Linked DNA regions of Coturnix japonica. The protein of the gene in region 4 interacts with the protein of the main gene of each other region in a pairwise test. Links are inferred from orthologs where the notes say so. Each region holds a gene or a part of one and is shown on either strand. Other genes may lie near its edges.

Region 1 (4,245 bases), on a different chromosome or scaffold from region 4:
ACCGTCACAAGAACAGCAGGGGAGCAGAGGTGCGTGTTGTGGGGCCCACACATCACACCAGCAACCTGCGCTCTCTTTCTGCATCATATCCCCGCTCTCCCTTTAAGCTCACAGCCAACTGTATCCAAACGGCACAAGAGCAACAAAGTTGGGCTCCAGCAAACGTTTTAAGTAGAGCGTACGGAGCAGTATCTCCACCAGGCTCTGACCAGTGAAGTACATCTCCTGCATTATGCAAATCCTACCCAGGAGAAGCAGCGCTTCCAAAGCACTCAAGGCCTTGTGAACTCACAGCGGCTTCACACCATGACCTAGTTACTCAATCTGGGCAGACAGCTTTCAAGAGAGAACAGAAGGACCAGGTTGTTCCAGCATCTTAGCTTGCTTTACAAAAATGCATTGTGGCCCATGAGTTAGGCATGGTCACAAATATTTTGCTACTAGCTCATGTGATGTTCCATTCAGAACAACACCATGTCTAAATGAGTATTTCATGACTGTACGTGCAGCTTATCACAAGGTTTAATAATGCTTCTCTGACACTAAGAACTGCGGGAAAAAGCAGTAAGTGGAGAAAAGATCTCTAAAGCCACATCCACTTTTCCTCCAATCCGTCAGCACAATCTAGGTTTACAAAGCTGCAATTTGGAATGCCTGTGCTCTCACGTCTCCACTAATCAATAGACAGGAGGTTGATTTGGTTCAGGTGAGGGGCCAGAGTTACGACATGCAGCTGTCTGAGCTTCAACCACAACTGCAGTTTGATAGGACAAACTGAACTGCGTATTTCAAAACTAAGCAATGGCAGAAAAAGAGATCTCTTCATACTCTCCGTCAAAGACATAGGCTAAACAAAATCTTCTTTATGTTCCAAAACAAGAAGAAGGCCTTTTACAGTTTACCCTCATATAATTTAATGACTGTGCTGCTCAGAACTTCTGCACCGACTTAAGATGCATTTAATCAAATCCCGTTTCAAAGTATTTATAACGGAAGTTTTGTTCCGTCTCCCAAACAAACCAAGTCACTCATGAACCCATTTAATCCTATTTGTAATTACTTACAGGTTGTTTCTATAAGCCAGCAACGCCGGAGCTACAGGTTACTTGTGGACACTGGATCAATTCTTAGATTCGATTTACTGCTGCAGCTCAGAACCTAAAGCAGTTCTATAATGTACACAAGGAAAACCCTCCTGTTTAAAGAAAATCAAAGGTAGTTCCACGGTGCCTTTAAATCTATTAACTCAGACAAATGCTGTGGCTGTCATCAGGAAATTAGCTGCTACAAAAAAGTAATTACTAGTCATAGGCTGCGTTACGTTTATTTACCTGTAAACAAATATTCTTCTGAATTAAGTCTTAGTAACGCCCCTTTGTAACTGTATTTCAAAATGTACATCCCTCCTGGTGGCATAAGTACAGCAAACAAGAGTAAAGCAGGGATTAGCTTCTTGTATGGGTGGGATGGAAGAAAAATAAAGCAGAGAGAAAAATGGTTAAATCCTTTCCCAGGGGCAGGGGGAATCCCAATAAGGTGCAACCTGCATCTGTACCTTTGTGTCAGTAAAAACAGACAGCAAATACAGCACACACTGTTAGAATTCTGAGCTCTACAAAGAACCCAAAGGAAAAGTCCTGGAAGTCTGCAGGAACGTTTCAGCGATTGCAGAATTCCACCTGGGGGGCGGAGGGGGGTTGGCTGTAAGCAGCTCCTCGCAGCTCTGCACAACACCGCCGCAAGAACTCAAAGCAATGGGGCCCAGCAACACTGCCCAGCACCACCAACACACGGAGACTCACACCCCCGACTGTAAACACTCCCCGATCCTCAACGCAGCGCGGAGCCGCACAAAAGATAAAGGGAGAAAATGGGGGCGGGGGGAGTAGATGGAGGAACGATCGGCCACTTTCTGTGCTACACTTTGGGAAATGCCCCGTGCCTCCCTCTGCCCCAAAGCCCCTTTTTCCCTCGGAGATGCTCGGGGACGACGCGGTTGCAGCAGGCCCAGAGGGCGGCCGGGGGAGCCCCCCACCCCGCAGCACTTCCATTCCCCGCATCCCAGGGAAGCCAACAGCTTCCTGTTCGCCCCGAGCCCTCCCGCCCGGCTCCGGGCCGCAGCCCTGCCCCCCCCTACCCCGTACATACACGCACACCCCCGGCGGCCCCTCGGTGCCTCAGCCCGGGCCAGCAAAAGCCCCCGCCGCGGCCTACGCGGGTCAGCGGGCGCCCGGCGGCCGCCGCCCGGGGAAGGAGCAGAGCGGCCGCCTCGCCTCGCCTGTCCGCCCCTCCCGGCCCCGCACAATGCGCGGCGGAGCAGGCCCCGGCGCTTCCTTCCCCCGGCCCTTCCCACCCCGGGAGCGGGTCACTTACATGGCTCCGGGAGCCCAGGGTGGAGGTGATGGGAGGGCGGCGGCGGCGGCGGCAGGGGAAAGAGGCAGGGGAAGGGGAGGGAAGGGGGGAGCGAGCGAGCGGAGGAAGGGAGAGCCTGGCGGGCGGGCGCCGAGCGAAGGCCTAACTGGGCTCACGGCAGCCGCCGCCTCCTCACCATCCCCGGGCGGCGGGCGGCGGGCCGGCTCCTCCTCCCCTTCTCGCAGGCGCTCGGCCCATGGGGCTCACACGGGCTGCCGGCTCTGCCTTCCCCGCCGCTCCGCCTCGCTCCTGCCTCTGGCCGAGAGGAGGAGGCTGCCTCTCGCTCAGCAGCACCCCCGGAGCCGCAGGGCCGAGCTCCCCGCAGCCGGAGCCGGGCTCGTCCCACACGCTCTCTCTCACATCCTCCGGGTCCTACCGCCGTCGCTCCGCTTCCCGCCCGCCCCGCCGCGCTGTGGGGCCGCGCTGTGGGGCCGCCCTGCTCCGCCTCGCTGCTCCCCTCAGCCCGCCGCCTACCCGGCCCCGGGCCCCGCTTCGGGCTGCCGGCTTTGAGAGGCACCGCCGGCCTCTACAAGGGGCGTCCGGTTGCCAGAGCCTGGGTGTGGGTCACTTTATAGTTTCTCCTGGCTTTGAGGTGCGGGTGTCTGGTCTTGCCGAAGTGTTCCCAAAGTGTTGGCAATGAACTCCAAAAAGCAGGCATCAAGCACGGGGCCACGGTGGTTTCGTGGCACCTCTGCTGCTCAGAAAGCATGTGGCTCCTGTACAGCGCCAGAGCAACTTTGTGAAGCTTTCCTGAAGCCGTACAAATCTACTTAACACGCTGCAGGTTTTTCCCTGCGCCTCCTAAATCCTGATTGATTCAATAATGCGGTATCACTTAGAGGATATTCCAGTATCCTTTCCCACAGCAAGGGGGGCTGCCTGGGGACAGGGTAGCAACCCAGGCCATGAGTCTAGGTGCTGCATCTCAGCCTCCTTGCTGCTTGCTAGGCCGTTCTGCTCTCAGTACACACAAATAATACAGTCACAGAATGGCTCCTGTTGGAGGGAACCTCAAAGCACACCCAGCTCCAACACCCTGCTGTGGGCTGGCTGCCCCCCACCAGCTCAGGCTGCCCAGGGCCCCATCCAGCCTGGCCTTGGGCACCTCCAGGGATGGAGCACCCACAGCTCTCTGGGCAGCAGTGCCAGGGCCTCACCGCCCTCTTAGAGATGAATTTATTCCTAACGTCTAACCTAAATGTCCCCTGCTTTAGTTTAAAGCCCTTCCCAAACCATTACGGATTGCTGCAGCAACGAGAACTGTCGCTTGCAGCAGGGCAGTATTTTGTCAGATTTTAAGAGCTGCTCCGCTCTGAAAAACGATGTTGTGGAAATGGCTTTGACAGATTTATGATTTCTCTGTGCTTCCAGTATCAAAATTTTCCCTGTTTACTCATTAAGGGATTTTGTTTATTTTCTAATTGACAGTGCCATAAAATCTAACTGGGCCGTAAGAGTGCTTTGATTTGTTCAGAAGCATGCGATCACTGATGATCGTGTTTCTGTAATTGGAAGCTCGTTAGAATTTAGAAAATGCCACATCTTCCCACAGCTTTGCACTGTTAACAAAATAAAGGTGCGTAAAATGCATTTACATCAGTAAAGCTGGGGAACGCAGCTCTGCATTTACACAGGCAGCAAATCTATTTGACATACTAAGAGTTTTTCCTGCGGTGTCATTGGGAATGATTGTATGTTCTTACTGAAATTCACATTTTATATCCTTCTTCCAATGTGATCAACTAGAAAGTCTGTCCAAAGAATTATATCCGTCACTAATTTTCTGAGTGTCCAGTGGATCATCAGATTCTGTGTATATCAGTGCACTAAAGG
Region 2 (4,008 bases), on a different chromosome or scaffold from region 4:
TCACAAAGGAAATTCAACACGTTTAATTCCCTTCAAACAGGTCGTGGCTCCAAGGAGTTTAACAGAGGCAGAATCAAAAGATATTTGGGTTTCTTTCTTAAATACTGCATTATACAATGAAAAAAAGTCTGTACTTCCCATTCCCTGCCAGTATTCCAGGCCTTCTTTGTGGATTTCCACCTGGATACAATCACAGAATCACAGAATGACCCGGGTTGGAAGGGACCTCAAGGATCATGTAGTTCCAACCCCCCTGCCTGGCAGGGCCACCAAACATACACCTTTACTAGATCATGTTGACCAGGGCCCTGTCCAACCTGGTCTTGAACACCTCCAAGGACGGGGCATCCACAACCTCCCTGGGCAGCCTGTTCCAGGGCCTAACCACTCTCCTAGTGAAGAACTTCCCCCTAACATCCAACCTAAATCTTCCCTCTTTTAACTTAAAACCATTTCCCCTAGTCCTGCTACTATCAGCCCTTTCGAAGAGTTTACTCCCCTCCTGGGAGTAAGTTCCCTTCAGGTACTGAAAGGCTGCAATGAGGTCACCCCGCAACCTTCTCTTCTCCAGGCTGAACAAACCCAACTCCCTCAGCCTGTCCTCATAGGGGAGGTGCTCCAGCCCCCTGATCATTTTCGTGGCCCTCCTCCGGACCCTTTCCAGAATCTCTATGTCTTTTTTGTACTGAGGGCTCCACACCTGGATACAGTATGAGAGATGGGGCCTAACAAGAGCCGAGTAGAGAGTTTGTATTTATTTTCAGGCTACACAAACTTCACCTATATCCACAGATAGAGAAAAGCAGACAAATGAGGAGAGATGTGTACAACGCTCCTATCATCAGTAACATAGCAGCTCTATGCATCATTCACTAGTTAATTGTTCTTGCTCTGTCCTTACAAAGTTCCGTTCCTAGGAGGAAAATAATACACATAAAACTCCTATCTCAAGCCTACAAATATTATGTGCTTAACTAGGAAAAAAATAAACCCAAAACCTCAAACATAATAACAGTCTTCCTACATTAAATACACTAATAAAGGATGCATACAGTTAACAACCTGCAGCTCTGTGTGCCCATGAGCATCTATTCATTGAGAAACCCCATCCCCTCAAACAGATGCACTCACACTACCTGCAAAAGACACCAATATGCTTCAGTAAAGATTTGCCTAAGGATGTTTTGAAGTATGTTTCCCCTCTATGCTGCTTCTGAACACAGGCACAGTATATGAAGCTTCTCTGGATGCATCTCTCATTGGAGATACCAGGATATGGAATGCAAGAAAGAGCAATTAAATTAACAGACTTTGATGGTTTTAAGTACCTGCTGGTTCTATGACTTTGTTCAATTTAAAAGGCATGTGAAAAGCACTTCACCTGACACCAGAATGAACAGGGAACAGCATCTTTTGCTCTAACCATGGATGAGAGCTGAGAATGTCATGCACCACAACACAGAGTACACTTCCAAGTTCTTGGGTCACTTGTAACAAGTTCAATATGATGATAATCATAATCTTGGTGTTACAGACAGTAACAGAACCATGGCAGCCATCGGCAAATAAAGGGCTGCTTATTTGCTTGTTTCTAACAGCCTTTGCTTTTTAACAACAGCTTGTTAATTCAAAAGTTAAGAAGAAAATCATACCAGAACATCTGAAATGTTTTAACAACCTTTTCAGCTTAAAATCATTAAGTTGAGCCACGTTCAAATCACTGACCTTTTCTAATTTCTCAAAGTGTTCTCTGAGGAACTTCATGGGTCGATCTGGTTTGGCTATGCAGAGATTCACAATGCACTCCTTTAAGATCTGCTGGATGTTGTGCTTCTGAACATACAGCTCACATCCCTTCAGGCTCTCATCTTCTTCCACACTGCAGGAAGAAGCAGCAGCCATCTTCAAGGCTTGTAAACAGTAAACAGACCTGGGTGATGGAAATGGTGTAAAGAAGAGACAATTCTTTAACAGAGGAACTTGGAGCAGCAGAGATAGACAAGTACTGCCTGAGAGCTATCAATTCAGAGCATTATATGGAATTATTATGGAAACGCAGACCGCGGCATCTCTATAGGATCAACACATTGGTAACTACAAAACTAGCACTTCAACTCCTCAACATCTACAGATAACGGTACAATGAATCACACAAGGCCATGAGTTTTAGAGGCAGTCATTCAACACCGCTTTAAAGCCCCGCATTTCTGTCCCATCGCAGCCTCCCCCCGCTCAGCACAAACCCGGGTTGGTGTCTCAGGAGGATTTGTGGCTCCAAAGCAGCGCTCGGGGCCGCGGTGACACCCGAAGGAGGGCCGAGCTCCCCGCACAGAGCCCGGCTCGGACCTTCGCGAGGCCTCTATGTCCCAGCACAGCGCGCCGCATCGCCGCTGAGCAGCAGGGAGCTCAACCGGGCCGTACCTGGGCGGCTGATCCGGCGGGGCGGCTCTTTGTGCCGCTCTCACGGATGAAGCTGCTCCTCCGCCGGCTTCAGCAGCGCAACCGCTTCCTCCTCCCCTCGCTGGGACCGAGAAGCTGCCTCCTGTGTGCCCTCACACACACACACACACACAGACGGACGCGGATACAAAGGCTGCGGGCCTGCCGCAGGAAGTGCCGCTGCTGTCAGTCAGCCGCAGGATCGGCCTCCTCGGCGGGGCAGCACGGAACCGGGCAGCGCGGAGCGGGATAACGCGGAGGCGGACAGCGGGCCGGCCGTCACAGCGCCGCTCTCTCCCCGCCGTGTAATGGCGGCTGAGCGCAGTGCGGCGGTGCCGGACGCTGTGTGGCAGCTCCGTGCTTCACCGCGCCCCGAACCCGGCGGTGTTCACAGTATCACAGTGTCGTGCGAGTTGGAAGGGACCTTAGAGATCATCGAGTCCAACCCCCGGGATTCGAGCCTCTGTGTAGCAGAGCGGCACTTCACAGAGTCACATAATGACCCGGGTTGGAAGGGACCTCAAGGATCATGTAGTTCCAACCCCCCTGCCTGGCAGGGCCACCAAACATACACATTTACTAGATCAGGTTGCCCAGGGCCCCGTCCAACCTGGTCTTGAACACCTCCAAGTGTTCAAGGTCTTGTTCCAGGTCTGGTTCCAGGGCCTAACCACTCTCTTAGTGAAGAACTTCCCCCTGACATCCAACCTAAATCTTCCCTCTTTTAACTTAAAACCATTTCCCCGTGTCCTGCTATTGTCCAGCCACTTCTACCACTTGCGCCACAGGGGGGATTCGAACCCAGGCCTCCGCTGTTGCAAAGTGGCGTCCTTAACCACTGCGCCACCGGAGGCACACATAGTCCACAGTCCTCATTCTGGCCCCCAAGTCAATTCATGCTCTTCCGCCCCCCCCCAAGTCCATTCATCGCATCCTGCCCCCCAAGTCACAGTATCACAGTATCACAGTATCACAGTATCACAGTATCACAGTATCACAGTATCACAGTATCACAGTGTCGTGCGGGTTGGAAGGGACCTTAGAGATCATCGAGTCCAACCCCCGGGATTCGAGCCTCCTGTGTAGCAGAGCGGCACTTCTACCACTTGCGCCACAGGGGGGATTCGAACCCGGGTCTCTGGAAAGGATTCATCAACAGCGGGAGGGATGGAGGCGAAGCGTGCCCGGTGCGGCCGTAAAGCGTTTTCTCGCCGTCGTAAAGCGGCCGCGTCCTTAGCAACGGCATCGCGCTTCCGTAGCGGCGGGGCAGCATGGCGGCGTGCGGGGCGGCGGAGCTGGCGCAGGCCTTGAGCCGGCCCCTGAGCTGCCTGCAGGGCCCCGAGTGCGGCCGGGCCGCGCGGCTGCGAGCACTAGAAGCCATCCGGGCCGAGGTGCAGGAGCGGCCGCTCTCGTCGCAGGCGGTGCAGGAGGTTTTCGAGGCGCAGCTGGTGCGGCCTCTGTCGCGCTGCCTGGCGGGGGACGCGGCGGAGCGGTGCCGGGAGCTCGCCCTGCAGCTGCTCCTGCACGGCCTGAGTCGCTGCGAGCGGCCCGGGGAGGCGCTGCCCGTCG
Region 3 (4,241 bases), on a different chromosome or scaffold from region 4:
AGAGACACTCAGCAGCATTTGGAATCGTTGCCGGAGTGGGCGGGCTGCTGCTGCCCTCTGCTGGGTGATACTGTGTTGGAAGCCTCGCTGCAGCCAACCTAACACTTAAAGCTGTACATAGCTTTGGGTGCCGTAACATAAGAAGGAAATAAAACCATCAGGGCATGCAGAGGAAAACGAAGATGGTGAAGGGTCTAGAGAGCAAGGTGTGTGAGGATCACAGCCACAAAGGCCTTTGGTGTTGTGAATCTGACATTTCATGGCACAGGACAACCCGGAGTTAAACCACATCCAGGAGTTTTCTGGCTGATAATGAGCTTCCCCCGGCTTTTCATCTTGCACTGCCGACAGCACCTACCATTCACTGCATACAACGAGCTACTTCTGGCTCCTACAAAGCCCACTCCCCATCACAGCTACGCTAAGTCTGAGCAACCTGGAAACAAAGCAGACCCTTCAGGCAGGAGCAAAGGGCAGTGCTGAGTAGCCGGCAACCCACAAGGCTTACCAATGTGTGCTGGCAGGTGCATGGTAGCAGAAGCCTGAGGTACAAATGCCCTGAAATAAAAGACAAAGACTTCAGCTCTCAGAATAGTTTGAGGCTTTCACCCTGAAGTGGTTTTCAAGCACAAAAGGGGCTGAGCATCTCTTGAAGCAGCTCCATCCTTATTTTGCTTTGCAAAGCCTTGCAGCAATTCCTTTCTAGTTGTAATAAAAACAAGGGCACTGTTGGGATAGGGGGAGGCACAGGCTGGAGGCCCCACAGCCACTTCCCCCATGGAGGCAGTTGTTGTTTTGCATGGAGCTCCAGGTGTCCCCATGGGCTCCAAGCACCTGATCAGCTGTAGGTGCCCCTGTTCAGTGCTGGGAAATTGGACCAGATGGCTTTGAAGGGTCCCTTCCAACTCAAATGGTTCTATGATTGTATTTGCAGGCAATGAAGTGATTAACCAGAGACACAGCAAGGGGTGGGAAGGTGTCATTAGGCCTAAGCAGCAGTGGGATCCCGTTCAGATGGCGGGCAGTTGCCTCAGGCCCATGTTGGCTCACCGTTTCCGCAGGCCCGTGTTGTCCCGCAGCGTTGGCTCGGCAGCTGACAGCAGTGACTGCAGCAGGACACGGGCTTCCCTCCAGGCAGTGGGGCCCAGCCCCATGAAGGCACTGAGGGTGGGCTGATGGGCAATAGATGACAGACTGAGTTTTGCTTCACAAGAGCACCCAGATGCCCCCACTGCATCCCCACAGCTATAGGCTGCCTCTAAGCAGAGCACAGCCAATGGTGCTGGCCCACACTCCTGATGAGATGCCCCAAATTTGTGCCCTGTCACAGAAATCAGTTGGATATTAGGAAAAATCTCTTATCAGAAAGAGCAGTGCTGCAGTGGCACAGCTGCCCAGGACAGTGATGGAGTCACCATCCCTGGAGGTGTTCAAGAGCTGTGGGGAACTCTCACATGTCTAAGAGCACACAGAAATCCAAACTATGGCCTGAGATAAATACCTGGTCAAAGACATGCTGGTGTTTGGCAAGAGCCGGTCCATTAAACAGATGCTTGATGACACTGAGATCCAAGATTTGGTCTCCAATCGCTACCCCAATCCTGTGCCGAGGCTGCAAAGCGGTGAGAGTGGAGGGAAGAGAAGAAGAGTTTATGTTTGTACCCCCAAACCCTCCAGCGATCACAGAGAGATGAACCCATGAGGACAGGGTCTAACACTCATTAGGAAAACAAACTTAACAAAATGGAAAAACTCACGCAATTTAACCTATTTTTTAACCTCAAATTTCCAAACAAGATATTCCTTAATCTTTAATTTCTAAGCACGATTCCCGCTGTGATAAGGATTCATTCAGCAAACATCCCTGCAGAGCGCCGGGTTAATTTGTAACGACACCAACTGCCATAGCTGGAAATCATGGGGACATGGTGCCAGTTTTAAAACGTTATTACCCCAAAGGATTTCCATAAACCCTCACCTGACTTCTAATTAGATCTTGGCCAAAATGTGACGCACTGGAACAGGTTGTCCAATGAGGCTGTGGATGCCCCATCTCTAAAGGCATTCAAGGCCAGGCTGGATGTGGCTCTGGGCAGCCTGGCCTGGTTGTTGGTGACCCTGCACATAGCAGGGGTCTAAAACTGGATGATCATTGTGGTCCTTTTCAACCCAGGCCATTCTATGACTCTGACAGAACAGCACTGGCTTGAACCTTTGGGCACATTTAACACTTTGCTGCAGCGCCGTGCCCAACAAACCATAATGGGGCAGCAGCAGAGATAGAAGTGACACGTGCATGCAGTGCTCTGCTTTAGTACTCTTGCAACCAACCAGCTGGTGAGAGCAGGCTGCTAAAGGCCAGAACACGGTACATACAAATACAGCTATTGCAGGAGACAATTCATTTGACAATAGTCAAAACCACACAAAAACCATAGGATGCAGCAGCCAAAGTGCTCCTCAGAACTACTAACACTTCCCATTCTTTACTATAGTTTAAAGGAGGCTGTTACCAGAAGCCTTATGTGAAGCAAAAAGACAACTCAGATTTCCTTATCCCATGTTGCTGGAGTTCCTCCATTCCACAGGCTCCACACAATTACAACAGCCCGAGGACAACCTGTGCTTTTACTCACCTCCTCCCTTGTGGAGAAAACCCCATAGGGGAGATTTTGCAGAGGGAAATCTGAGTCCTTGTCCACGTGGATGAAAGACATGCTGAATGCTCACAAAGAGCCCCGACCTGCTGGGCCACTGCGCTCCTACCTCAAAGGAAGAGCCCCTTTGGATGTTGTAACAGGGAGCACAGCAGCACCAAATCCCACCCTCCATCCGCAGCCCCAAACCAATCGCAGCCCTGCCCGCATCCCACCCCTCATCCCGCTGGCAGCAGCTGTGGTTAATTAGTGCCAGAGGTTTGCATGAGTCAGCAGCTGGTAACTGTTCCTGCCGAGGTTGGGGCCAGCACACTGACAGGCTCTTCCTGCTCGATAAACCCTTACATGAAACCAAGGCCATTTTTCACCAGCTCGGTCCTTGTGGGTGGGGAATCCATGCAGGCAGCTCCATGTGGGGCGGTGAGAGCAGAGATGCCACCCATTTACCTGCCACGGGGGTGATTTACTTGACAGCAAGGTGGGAAAATGATGTCCCCATCTCACCTCAGTGGAGCAGTTCTTCTGCCAGCAGCTCAGCAACACGGAGAAAGTGCTCAGCTGACACCTCCAGCTGCACTTCACCTCCTTTTTAGCTTTGTAATGCTGTATCCGAGTTACATTTTCACCAGTTCCAATAGCTTAAAAACAGGTGTGTGCAAACAACAGAACAAGGGCAGAGGAACCTGTGGCATCTTCTGATCCCCAACCCAGCTGTCACACCGTGCACAGAAACCAATGAGGGAATGACTTGTGAAACTGAAACCAAATAGCAAAGGTCACACCTTTCCAATAAGCGCAGTTAGACAGCTCGTGACTGCCAAGCAAAGAACTTAGAACTTATTTCCTGCTCAACTTTTCTTTTCTGGCAGAGAAGACTCTTTAGAAGAAACAGAGCAAGCTGGAGAGGCAGAGATTCAGTGCGAGATGACACAACACCAGCGACGAGAGCCCATCTGTGACAGCTCATGTGGCGCCATCTGGAGCAGGTTCTTCTTTCAAACAATACGACGCCTCGCACCAACTCCTGCAGAATTCCCTGTAAGCAAATCCAGTGCATCTCAAGTTACGACTCTGTGCCAATGATGGCTGAAAAACGCCGCGAAGAGGCTCCATGTGAGGTTACAGGAACTGTGTGTAAGCTGCGTACTGCAAGGAGAAAACAACAGCTTGAAAGCGTGCGTCCAATACACAGCGTGCATCTTGAGAAACAAGATTCATGCAAGGCTGCTGCAGTGCTGTGAACGTGCTGGTATTAATTAAAATGTTCATCTGCTAACCTAATGCTGATGACAGAATATGAAGAGCACGGCTGGTTATCCAGATTGAGAAGCAGATCAACCACCACGATAACATGAAGCCAACGCCAAAGCAAACACCAACTCGCTGTCAGGGAAAGGTGGATTTCCAGTCCAAGTTCATATATCAGGACCATATTATCTTTCAATATCCTTTACTCGGAGCAATCTGAACGAGCCAGGCCATAAACAAATTTATTAGGTTGTCTTGAGAAGGATATGTGTAGAAACAGAATTACCCAACACTACCCCTGCCAGTCAGTACAGCCATTGCACTGCACGTCCAGTT
Region 4 (3,945 bases):
AGCCAGTACACTGCCCAGTGGGTTAGAGTGCACAGTCCTTTACTCCATTCCACAATGGCTGCAACTACAGATCAAAACTAGATATATAGAGCCAAAAAAGCAACAAGAAATGGTTTGACTAAATGCAATGTCACTAAGCAATGAGAAACAAAATGGACATCAGTCAAATGCATGCTGCAGGAAGTGGCATGCCTGCTGTCAAAGGCACCTAACAGGCCATCCAGCAACTATCAGTGTAAATCCAGATTACTTCCTCTGCTGTTAATCTGGATCAACATTAAAGATGGTGGATTGAGAGAGAGGGAGGTATTGATCCCTGTGACAGTTCAATTTCTAACAATGCTGTTTGGTGCTGCATTAAGCACAGCTACTGGGTTTGTTTGGTTTGTTTTTCATTTTCATGACTGCAGTCATTCAAATAAAAAAGTTTCGTCTCATCCAAATTTGAAAAGATTGTTCTAAACTTCTGGTAAAATATACAGGTGAATTTTAATTTCCATTCAACTATTACATTGCCCATTATAGTTTGATTCTGACATTCTTGTAACAAAAAAGATTTGCCAAGGTAATTTGGGGGGGATAATACAAACTAAAATATTAAGAAGCATAAATGCATTTACTATTTGTACTTCTAGAAGCAACAGAATTTTATCATAAAACATGAGTGTTGCAATGTTTATGGCAGCATATTTGCTTTCAGAACTGTTATAAATTCAGATGCCATGGGGTCCCAAGGAAGTGGGTCTTCACTCATTATTTTATGATTCCCAAATGCCACTTTATTCTGTACCCACCTTTATTTCCTCTCTCATCTTCAAATGCGGAGAAAAACAGATAAAGCTCAAATAATTGATTCATGCTTCTTGAAGAAGTTATTCTGCCTTCCCTCTTCTGTCCCCGGTCCTCCTCACAGGAATGGTTACTCACTAACACAATGCTGACAATGATGCCCATTGGGTTTATCATGTAGCTGTTTTTTATTTAACAATCCTCAAATAAACAGCACCTTCATAATTTTATGAGACACCAGATTAAGCACTTTAAAGAAGGCAACAACATATATACCCTCACATTTTACAGATTCTGCTGGGCATGTGCATCAGGGTGTTCCATTTCAAAGGACTTAAATGCAGCAGACGGAGTCAGCTCTGCTCCCCGTCACTTTCAGTGGATGAGGGGAGACAAGAAAAGAAAAAGATCAGAAACCCAGGAAAGAAGAGCTGCCTACGTTACATCAGCAACAGGTATGAACTTGATTTCTGGAACAAGGGAGCCTCTTCAATGCTTTGAGGTTGTGTAACTAGTTCCTCAGAACAGGCAGCTGCTGCTCCCTTTCAGGACAGTTTTACTGTTCTCAGTTACAAAAACATAGGTTCAGCTGTTTTCAGCTGCAAGCCAGCTCTTCAAAACACTACTAATTCTTTTTTCCCTCTTTTTCTGTAGAAAGAAAACACAACAACAGATCTGCATTTTTTCCCTTGCTGGCAGATCTCCAAGATAAAGAGAACTGTACTCTGCCTGGAACAGCACTCGGGGCCTATTCACAGAAATGATCACCACACATGGAGAAAAAGCGACGGAACTCTCCCAACAAAAACGTTCTCTCACTCCTTAAACCAGTTTTTCAAAAACGTATAAAAAACAAAGCTCCAGAAGCCAACCAGACAGCCTCGCGGGCCGTCCCGCGCCGTTCCCACGCACGGCTGCCGGGCGCTCTCAGCGAGGGTGACAGCGGAGGCATCGGGCCGGGCAGAGAGAAAGAGAGAGAGAGCGAGCACGACCGGAGAACCAGAATCCGCATGAAGTTTCCCGTCCTCCCCGACACACCCTTCTCAGGTGTGTGCACACGTATATGCATGCATTCATCTTTTTGAAGCGGAATGAGCTGAGGTGCCCGGCCCGAGGCGGCGGGACGGCTGAGGCTGCCCTGCGTGTCCCTGCCGTGCTCGGTGCCACCTCCCCGGTGTCGGTAGCAGAGCGGTACTGGGCCGGCGGCCACCATGGGGTGAACCCGGGCAGTGAGGGCGCTCGGGGCGCCGCGGAAAGAGCACGGGGGCGGAGTGGAGGAGAGAGCAGAAAATAAAAGCCTCGGGAGGGGACAAGCACAAGCGATGAGACTCTCAAAGGTTTATTCCCTTTTATTTCCTCCGCCCCCACAAAAGAAAATAAGCTTAGAATCAGGAAGTCATGAGCTGCGCGACTGCTCTGTAGGTCTGTTTTTCCATCTTTCTCTCAGTAGTTTTTTATTTTTTACTTTTTCCCCCCTTTCTTCTAAGGGACGAAGCCAAGACTTTCCCTCCGACTCTCCCCGCAGTACCAAGGGGCACACCCTGTAGCCCCAGCACCCGTACCACCCGTTACCTTTCTTCTCCTCCACGGCGGAACAGAGTGCGACGCGCCCCAGCAGCAGCAGCACCAGGAGAGCGGCCCCGCGGGGCTTGGCGGCGGACAGGGGGTTGAGAACGCCCATGGTGTGCATCGAACGCGACGGGCAAACGGAGCTCCCCGACGAGCTGCTCCTCACTTTGCGCTACTCTGCTCTGCGTTCTACTCCGCTCAGCTCCTGGCTGCCACTCTGCCTCCGAGCAACATGCTGGAGGGCAGCCGTCGAGGGTTGCACGCACACGTTCCTACCCAGCTGCAGAAGGACTGCTGCCTTCTTCCTCCTCCTCTCCTTTCCTACTCCCTCCTCTCCTTCTGTCGCAGGGGCTGCGGAACGGATGGGGCCGGCCAAGGGACTACTCTGCCCAGCTGCGCTCTCCGACCGGCCACGGAGCGCAGGGGCTCCCTCTGGGGACGCCGAGGGGGAGGAGGATGGGGCGGGAGCAAGAAGCGGGGGGAGGAGGAACCAGCGGCGCCTTCCCCGCCCAGGTAGGAATGGAACCGCCTCTACCTGTCCCAGGACAGAAGGAAGCAGCTGTGGGGGAGGGAACAGCTTGGCCTATTCCCCCGCTAGGTTTATGCGAGTGTTGAGGGTATCCCGTTGTCCGCTTCCCGCTGTTTGTTTGCTCGGTAGCTGCCGAAGGCATAAGCAGGCGTTTGCGTCGCCGCTTGTGAAAAGCCCTGTGGCCTTCAGCTCCCCATCCATGTCCCTCCCGTGGGACGCTCTGCAGCAGAAACCCATCCCGTCCCATTATATACAACCCTCGTTTCTGCTGCCTCGGCATCAACAGAGCCCGTGAACAGCCCCATTCCCGTGTGGTCATTTTGGCCACAAAGTCAATAGGATATGAACTACTATGATTTATTGGGAACTCCAGAACTGAATCTCACAATGAAAGGGGCTTGGGAGGTAACACACTAAATGCCTATGCCTATCCCCATGTGCTGATAGCAACACATGGGGATATCATAGATACATTACGTAGACAGTAAAACAGCTGCTGGGTGTATTCTGCCTTACATCAGTGATTCATGCCTTCTGAGAGATTCTTTGATAGTTATTTATATTGATTTATATTGATTCACTGATTTTATACTACCCATCAGATTCCTCTGCACATTTTTTTCCCTGATAGTTTAACAAGTTACTGTGCTAATTAGGCAAAGAAAAGTGAAACACCATTTACTTACATTAGCACAAGTTAGATGCTCCAACACATACCATATCGTGCCTCTAATTGTTTATTTTTAAGATGAGCCTTTGGATGCTGTAACTGGTATGCTCTTTTCCTTATACACTGTAAATAATACACAATAAATACGTCAAAGTAAACTCAGAAATAAGTAACATCCATACAGCACTGCTCCTCTGATTGTTTCTGTTCCTTTAACAGAGGCAGAATCTGATCCTGCAACAAAATATCCATTTAATTCAGTTTGCTTCAATGCTGTTTACACAGTGCAACCACAAAAACATTATGTGCATATAACACATTTTCATTTATTTTGACAAATATGAAGGTTTTAAAAAATGAGAAGCCCAGGAAAAAATCAGCTTTTAGA
Region 5 (4,036 bases), on a different chromosome or scaffold from region 4:
TCTCCCCGCCCGCGTCCGCCGGGAGATGGCGGCAGAGCCCGCGGCTCCGCACGGCAACGCGGCCCCCACGCGCGGGGCCATTTTGGGCGCCGCCGCCATTCCGGGTGGGCCGGGCCGCACGCGCGTCCGCGGCCTGGGCCCGAGCCCGGCGCTGGGGGGAGGATGGGCGGCGGGTCCATCGATCTGCGCCCCGGGGCCGCAGCGTTGTTCCGTCCCGCCACACTCTGCCCCTCGGCCGCTGCCGTGTTTGCCGAGCAAACAAGGGGCCTCCGCTCTCCCTGCCGGCCCTGACCCCGCGACGTGCGGGGGGCTCCCCCGGCCCCGCGATCGCAGCCCCCTTCGGGCCGCACCGCCGCCTCCCCTGGCCTTTAAGAAAAGGTCGTAACCTCAAGCCGGGGCTAAACTTAGCCGCTGCCCCTCGGTGCTCCGGGAATGGCAGCCGTACAAGGAGCGTTGGGTTACGGGAGCTGCGTGACCCCCCGCTCGGACCCTCTCCCCCCGGCATCCTCCGTCCCCACCGCTGGAGCCGGGGCCCACCTCACCCCTGCACGCCCCCTCCTCCCGCCGGGCATCCGGCTTCGAGCACCCGCTCCATCGCAGGGGATGGAGGCTATAAACCCAGCACGGCTCCATCCCACGGCCCCTCTTTGGGCCGCACGAGCCCCAGCCGTAACACGTAAGAACCGCTTCTTGCCCACACCCCGGGCCCGGCTGCCAGGCGCAGACGTGCCGGGCTGGGAGAGGGACGGCGGCGGCTCGAGGCGGCGGGAGGATATGAGGATATCCGCTGTCACGGCGCAAGAGATGCTGCAGTTCCTTATTAGCGCGGCCTGAGAGCGCCGGTGTGACAGCGGGTGCGGGACCCCGGCAGCCCGGGGCTGCGTGACCAACACGTGCGAGGGCTGATTATGGCAGCGGGCAGGCTGCGGGCTCGCAGCACGGCGCTCTCTCGGCCGTGCGTGCTGCCATTAATGCAGCCCGCACCCGCCGCACCGCATCGTGCTGCAGCCGCACCCCGCAGCCTCACCCGAGGACACCGACGCGGGGCTTTGTCTGCACCCCCCATCCGAAGGGCACCCCCACTCCGTACAAGCCCCGCAGTGCGGCCCCAACCCCCCGAGCCCACCCTCGACCCAACGGCCGCCCTTTGTTGCGAGGGGGGAGGGGGAGAGAAGCGGGGGGGGGGCTGCCGCTTCACCCGCACCGTGCGTGCACGTAGCCCCGGCCCGGCCCTCGCGCTGCCATTCGGTGCCGGCCCGGCGGGGCGGGGCGCGGGGTGCTGCCGCCGTGTCTATAAAGGGCGGCGGAGCGGCACTGCGCCACCTTCTCACTGCGCGCCGGGGCCGTTGACTAGGAGCAGGTAACGGGCGGGGGGCACGGGGGCGGAGGAACGGCTCCCCCCACCCCTACCCACCCACCCACCCAGCCGGCCGCCCTCCCGTCTGCTTGAGCCCCTCGTAGGGTCGGGGCCGTCGGACCGCGAGGAGTGCGGCGGGGGGAGGGGGCTGTGCAGGACCGCGTGGTGCCCGGGGCACAAAGGCGGGGGCGGGCGGCGTAAGATGGAGGCGGTGGGGGTGGGGGGAGAGGTGCGGGGGGCACAGCTCGGTGGGGATGGAGGGAGGGAGGGATGGCGGGTGGGGGGGCGGCTCCCGGTGCGTGCGGTGGGGGGGTGTTATGGGGCGGGCGGGCTGCGTGCGGTACCGCACGTCTGAGCGTTGGCGTGTCCCCGCAGGTACACTATAAGGGAGAGATGGTGAAAGTCGGAGTCAACGGGTGAGTGAGTGCGGAGCCGGGACGGGAGGCGCCGGGCGGGGCGGGCGGGGATGTACGTGCCCGTGGGGGGGGGGAGGACGACACGAGACAAGGTCGCCTGAAGGGCGGGGGGCCCCGCGGCGCCGCGGAGAGACCCCCCCATCCTCCAACCCCCAACCGGGAGTAACGGCCCCGTGGGGCGGTGCTGAGTCACTTCCCCGCACGGTCGGGGTGAGTCACCCCGGAAGCGCCGGTGCTGCCCGCGTGCCCCGTCGGGGGCTCTGCCCGCACTAATGGGGCTCCCCGGGGCAGTGGGTACCCGAGGAAAGGTCGCCCGGTGGATCGTGTGTCGGCCGTGCCCCGGGAACGTGACCTTCTCCCACCGCACCGAGGAGTAACCGGATCCCCGGGGCCCTCAGTAAATTTAGCGCCTGACCTTTGTGGTGTGGGTGCCCTGCCCGGGGGTCGCTCTTAATCTTTAACCACGGCTCCTCGGCCTTTGGCCGCTGCTGTTGGATTCCATTCAGGCAGCGACTGACAGATGCTCTGGGGGGAAGTAGCAGATAGGCTCAGCCGTGCCTTACCAAGCATGTTCCTCAGTGCTCCTCCTCACCCACCTCTCTGTTTCTCCCCAGATTTGGCCGTATTGGCCGCCTGGTCACCAGGGCTGCTGTCCTTTCTGGCAAAGTCCAAGTGGTTGCTATCAATGATCCCTTCATCGATCTGAACTACATGGTGAGTTGTCTTGCAGTGCCCCCTCTGGGCGATGCGTGCACCTTCAGCGGGGCTCCCCTTGGAAACCTGGCATAGGTTAAGAGAGAAATGAGATGTAGTGATGCAAAGCTGGGCAGAGCAAAATACAGAGCAGCAGTTAGACAAGATGGCTGGTATTGTAGTGGGAGCTTTGCATCTAGGATGCCTGACCCTTCTCTTTTCTCTCCCTGCTAGGTTTACATGTTCAAATATGATTCTACACACGGACACTTCAAGGGCACTGTCAAGGCTGAGAACGGGAAACTTGTGATCAATGGGAACGCCATCACTATCTTCCAGGAGTGAGTAGCTTTCTTCTCTCGCTGCTCCAGAGAATGAAAGTAAGTGCCCTCCAGAGTAACTCCCATGGTTTTGTCCCCTCTCAGGCGTGACCCCAGCAACATCAAGTGGGGAGATGCTGGTGCTGAGTATGTTGTGGAGTCCACTGGTGTCTTCACCACCATGGAGAAGGCTGGGGTATGTAGGCTGCTGTGGCCCATGGGAAAAGGTGCTCTGAGGATTGTATTCCTTCTCAACTGTTGGGCCGTTCTGGGTAATTTAATCTTTCCTTTTTTGTTTTTCAGGCTCATCTGAAGGGTGGTGCTAAGCGTGTTATTATCTCAGCCCCCTCAGCTGATGCTCCCATGTTCGTGATGGGTGTCAACCATGAGAAATATGATAAGTCCCTGAAAATTGTTAGGTAAGGGAGAAGAATGCTCCCTGGCCTGGAATTTTCTTCGGGTCTTGTTGCACGTATATACATGTGTTGTACTTGGCTGATGTGCCTTCTTTCTCCCCCAGCAATGCTTCATGCACCACCAACTGTCTGGCACCATTGGCCAAGGTCATCCATGACAACTTTGGCATTGTGGAGGGTCTTATGGTAGGTCTGGAGCTTGATGCTCAGTAAGATACCCTGCCCCCAGGTCCTCCATGTGTGGGGGAAAAAAGCATTCACACACAGTGCTTCCATTGGGCTTGGGAGGAAGTGCTGGGGGTGCTTTCTCTGGGGAAAGTGACTGCTTTCTTACTTCTGGGCCTTCTTTCCACAGACCACTGTGCACGCCATCACAGCCACACAGAAGACTGTGGACGGCCCCTCTGGGAAGTTGTGGAGGGATGGCAGAGGTGCTGCCCAGAACATCATCCCAGCATCCACTGGGGCTGCTAAGGCTGTGGGGAAGGTCATCCCTGAGCTCAATGGGTGAGCGTCCTCTTTCTGTGTCTGATGGGGGGCAGGAGCCAGTGTGTGGCTGGCTCAAACACTTTTGTGGTAGAACATGCTTACACTGTTCTTTGCTGACATATCTCTTGCAGGAAGCTTACTGGAATGGCTTTCCGTGTGCCAACCCCCAATGTCTCTGTTGTTGACCTGACCTGCCGTCTGGAGAAACCAGTAAGTGCTGTGGACAAGACTGAAGAATCTTCAGGCCTGCCTCTAAAATTACTTCCTTCAACATCAATCTATTTAATAGAAAAATCTTGGTTTTGCTGAAAATAGCACCTAATGTGCATGGCTAGTGCTATGCAG

The links. The genes of interacting proteins can lie anywhere in the genome.
Region 1: the proteins of EGFR (region 4) and AKT1 interact in a protein complementation assay, tested with the Homo sapiens proteins (3 studies listed by BioGRID and IntAct, with this or other methods). The link is inferred for Coturnix japonica from reciprocal best matches to the Homo sapiens genes EGFR and AKT1.
Region 2: the proteins of EGFR (region 4) and PRKAR1B interact in a protein complementation assay, tested with the Homo sapiens proteins (2 studies listed by BioGRID and IntAct). The link is inferred for Coturnix japonica from reciprocal best matches to the Homo sapiens genes EGFR and PRKAR1B.
Region 3: the proteins of EGFR (region 4) and FAH interact in a protein complementation assay, tested with the Homo sapiens proteins (2 studies listed by BioGRID and IntAct). The link is inferred for Coturnix japonica from reciprocal best matches to the Homo sapiens genes EGFR and FAH.
Region 5: the proteins of EGFR (region 4) and GAPDH interact in binary tests that used the Homo sapiens proteins (3 or more experiments, as listed by UniProt). The link is inferred for Coturnix japonica from reciprocal best matches to the Homo sapiens genes EGFR and GAPDH.

What each region holds. Positions count from the first base shown.
Region 1 is NC_029520.1:46,986,318-46,990,562, forward strand, and holds the start of AKT1 (RAC-alpha serine/threonine-protein kinase), read right to left. Parts: upstream 2,801-4,245; 5' UTR 2,374-2,800; intron 1-2,373. UniProt on the Homo sapiens protein: AKT1 is one of 3 closely related serine/threonine-protein kinases (AKT1, AKT2 and AKT3) called the AKT kinase, and which regulate many processes including metabolism, proliferation, cell survival, growth and angiogenesis.
Region 2 is NC_029529.1:2,232,260-2,236,267, forward strand, and holds the start of PRKAR1B (cAMP-dependent protein kinase type I-beta regulatory subunit), read right to left. Parts: upstream 2,801-4,008; 5' UTR 2,422-2,800; intron 1,931-2,421; 5' UTR 1,903-1,930; coding exon 1,726-1,902; intron 1-1,725. Other genes in the region: DNAAF5 (dynein assembly factor 5, axonemal), read left to right, coding at 3,711-4,008. UniProt on the Homo sapiens protein: Regulatory subunit of the cAMP-dependent protein kinases involved in cAMP signaling in cells.
Region 3 is NC_029525.1:11,267,333-11,271,573, forward strand, and holds the start of FAH (fumarylacetoacetase), read right to left. Parts: upstream 2,801-4,241; 5' UTR 2,718-2,800; coding exon 2,637-2,717; intron 1,613-2,636; coding exon 1,502-1,612; intron 1,173-1,501; coding exon 1,051-1,172; intron 559-1,050; coding exon 509-558; intron 1-508.
Region 4 is NC_029517.1:73,823,017-73,826,961, reverse strand, and holds the start of EGFR (epidermal growth factor receptor), read right to left. Parts: upstream 2,801-3,945; 5' UTR 2,480-2,800; coding exon 2,362-2,479; intron 1-2,361. UniProt on the Homo sapiens protein: Receptor tyrosine kinase binding ligands of the EGF family and activating several signaling cascades to convert extracellular cues into appropriate cellular responses.
Region 5 is NC_029516.1:69,304,076-69,308,111, forward strand, and holds the start of GAPDH (glyceraldehyde-3-phosphate dehydrogenase), read left to right. Parts: upstream 1-1,236; 5' UTR 1,237-1,360; intron 1,361-1,732; 5' UTR 1,733-1,750; coding exon 1,751-1,773; intron 1,774-2,387; coding exon 2,388-2,487; intron 2,488-2,700; coding exon 2,701-2,807; intron 2,808-2,891; coding exon 2,892-2,982; intron 2,983-3,089; coding exon 3,090-3,205; intron 3,206-3,306; coding exon 3,307-3,388; intron 3,389-3,557; coding exon 3,558-3,709; intron 3,710-3,822; coding exon 3,823-3,901; intron 3,902-4,036. UniProt on the Homo sapiens protein: Has both glyceraldehyde-3-phosphate dehydrogenase and nitrosylase activities, thereby playing a role in glycolysis and nuclear functions, respectively.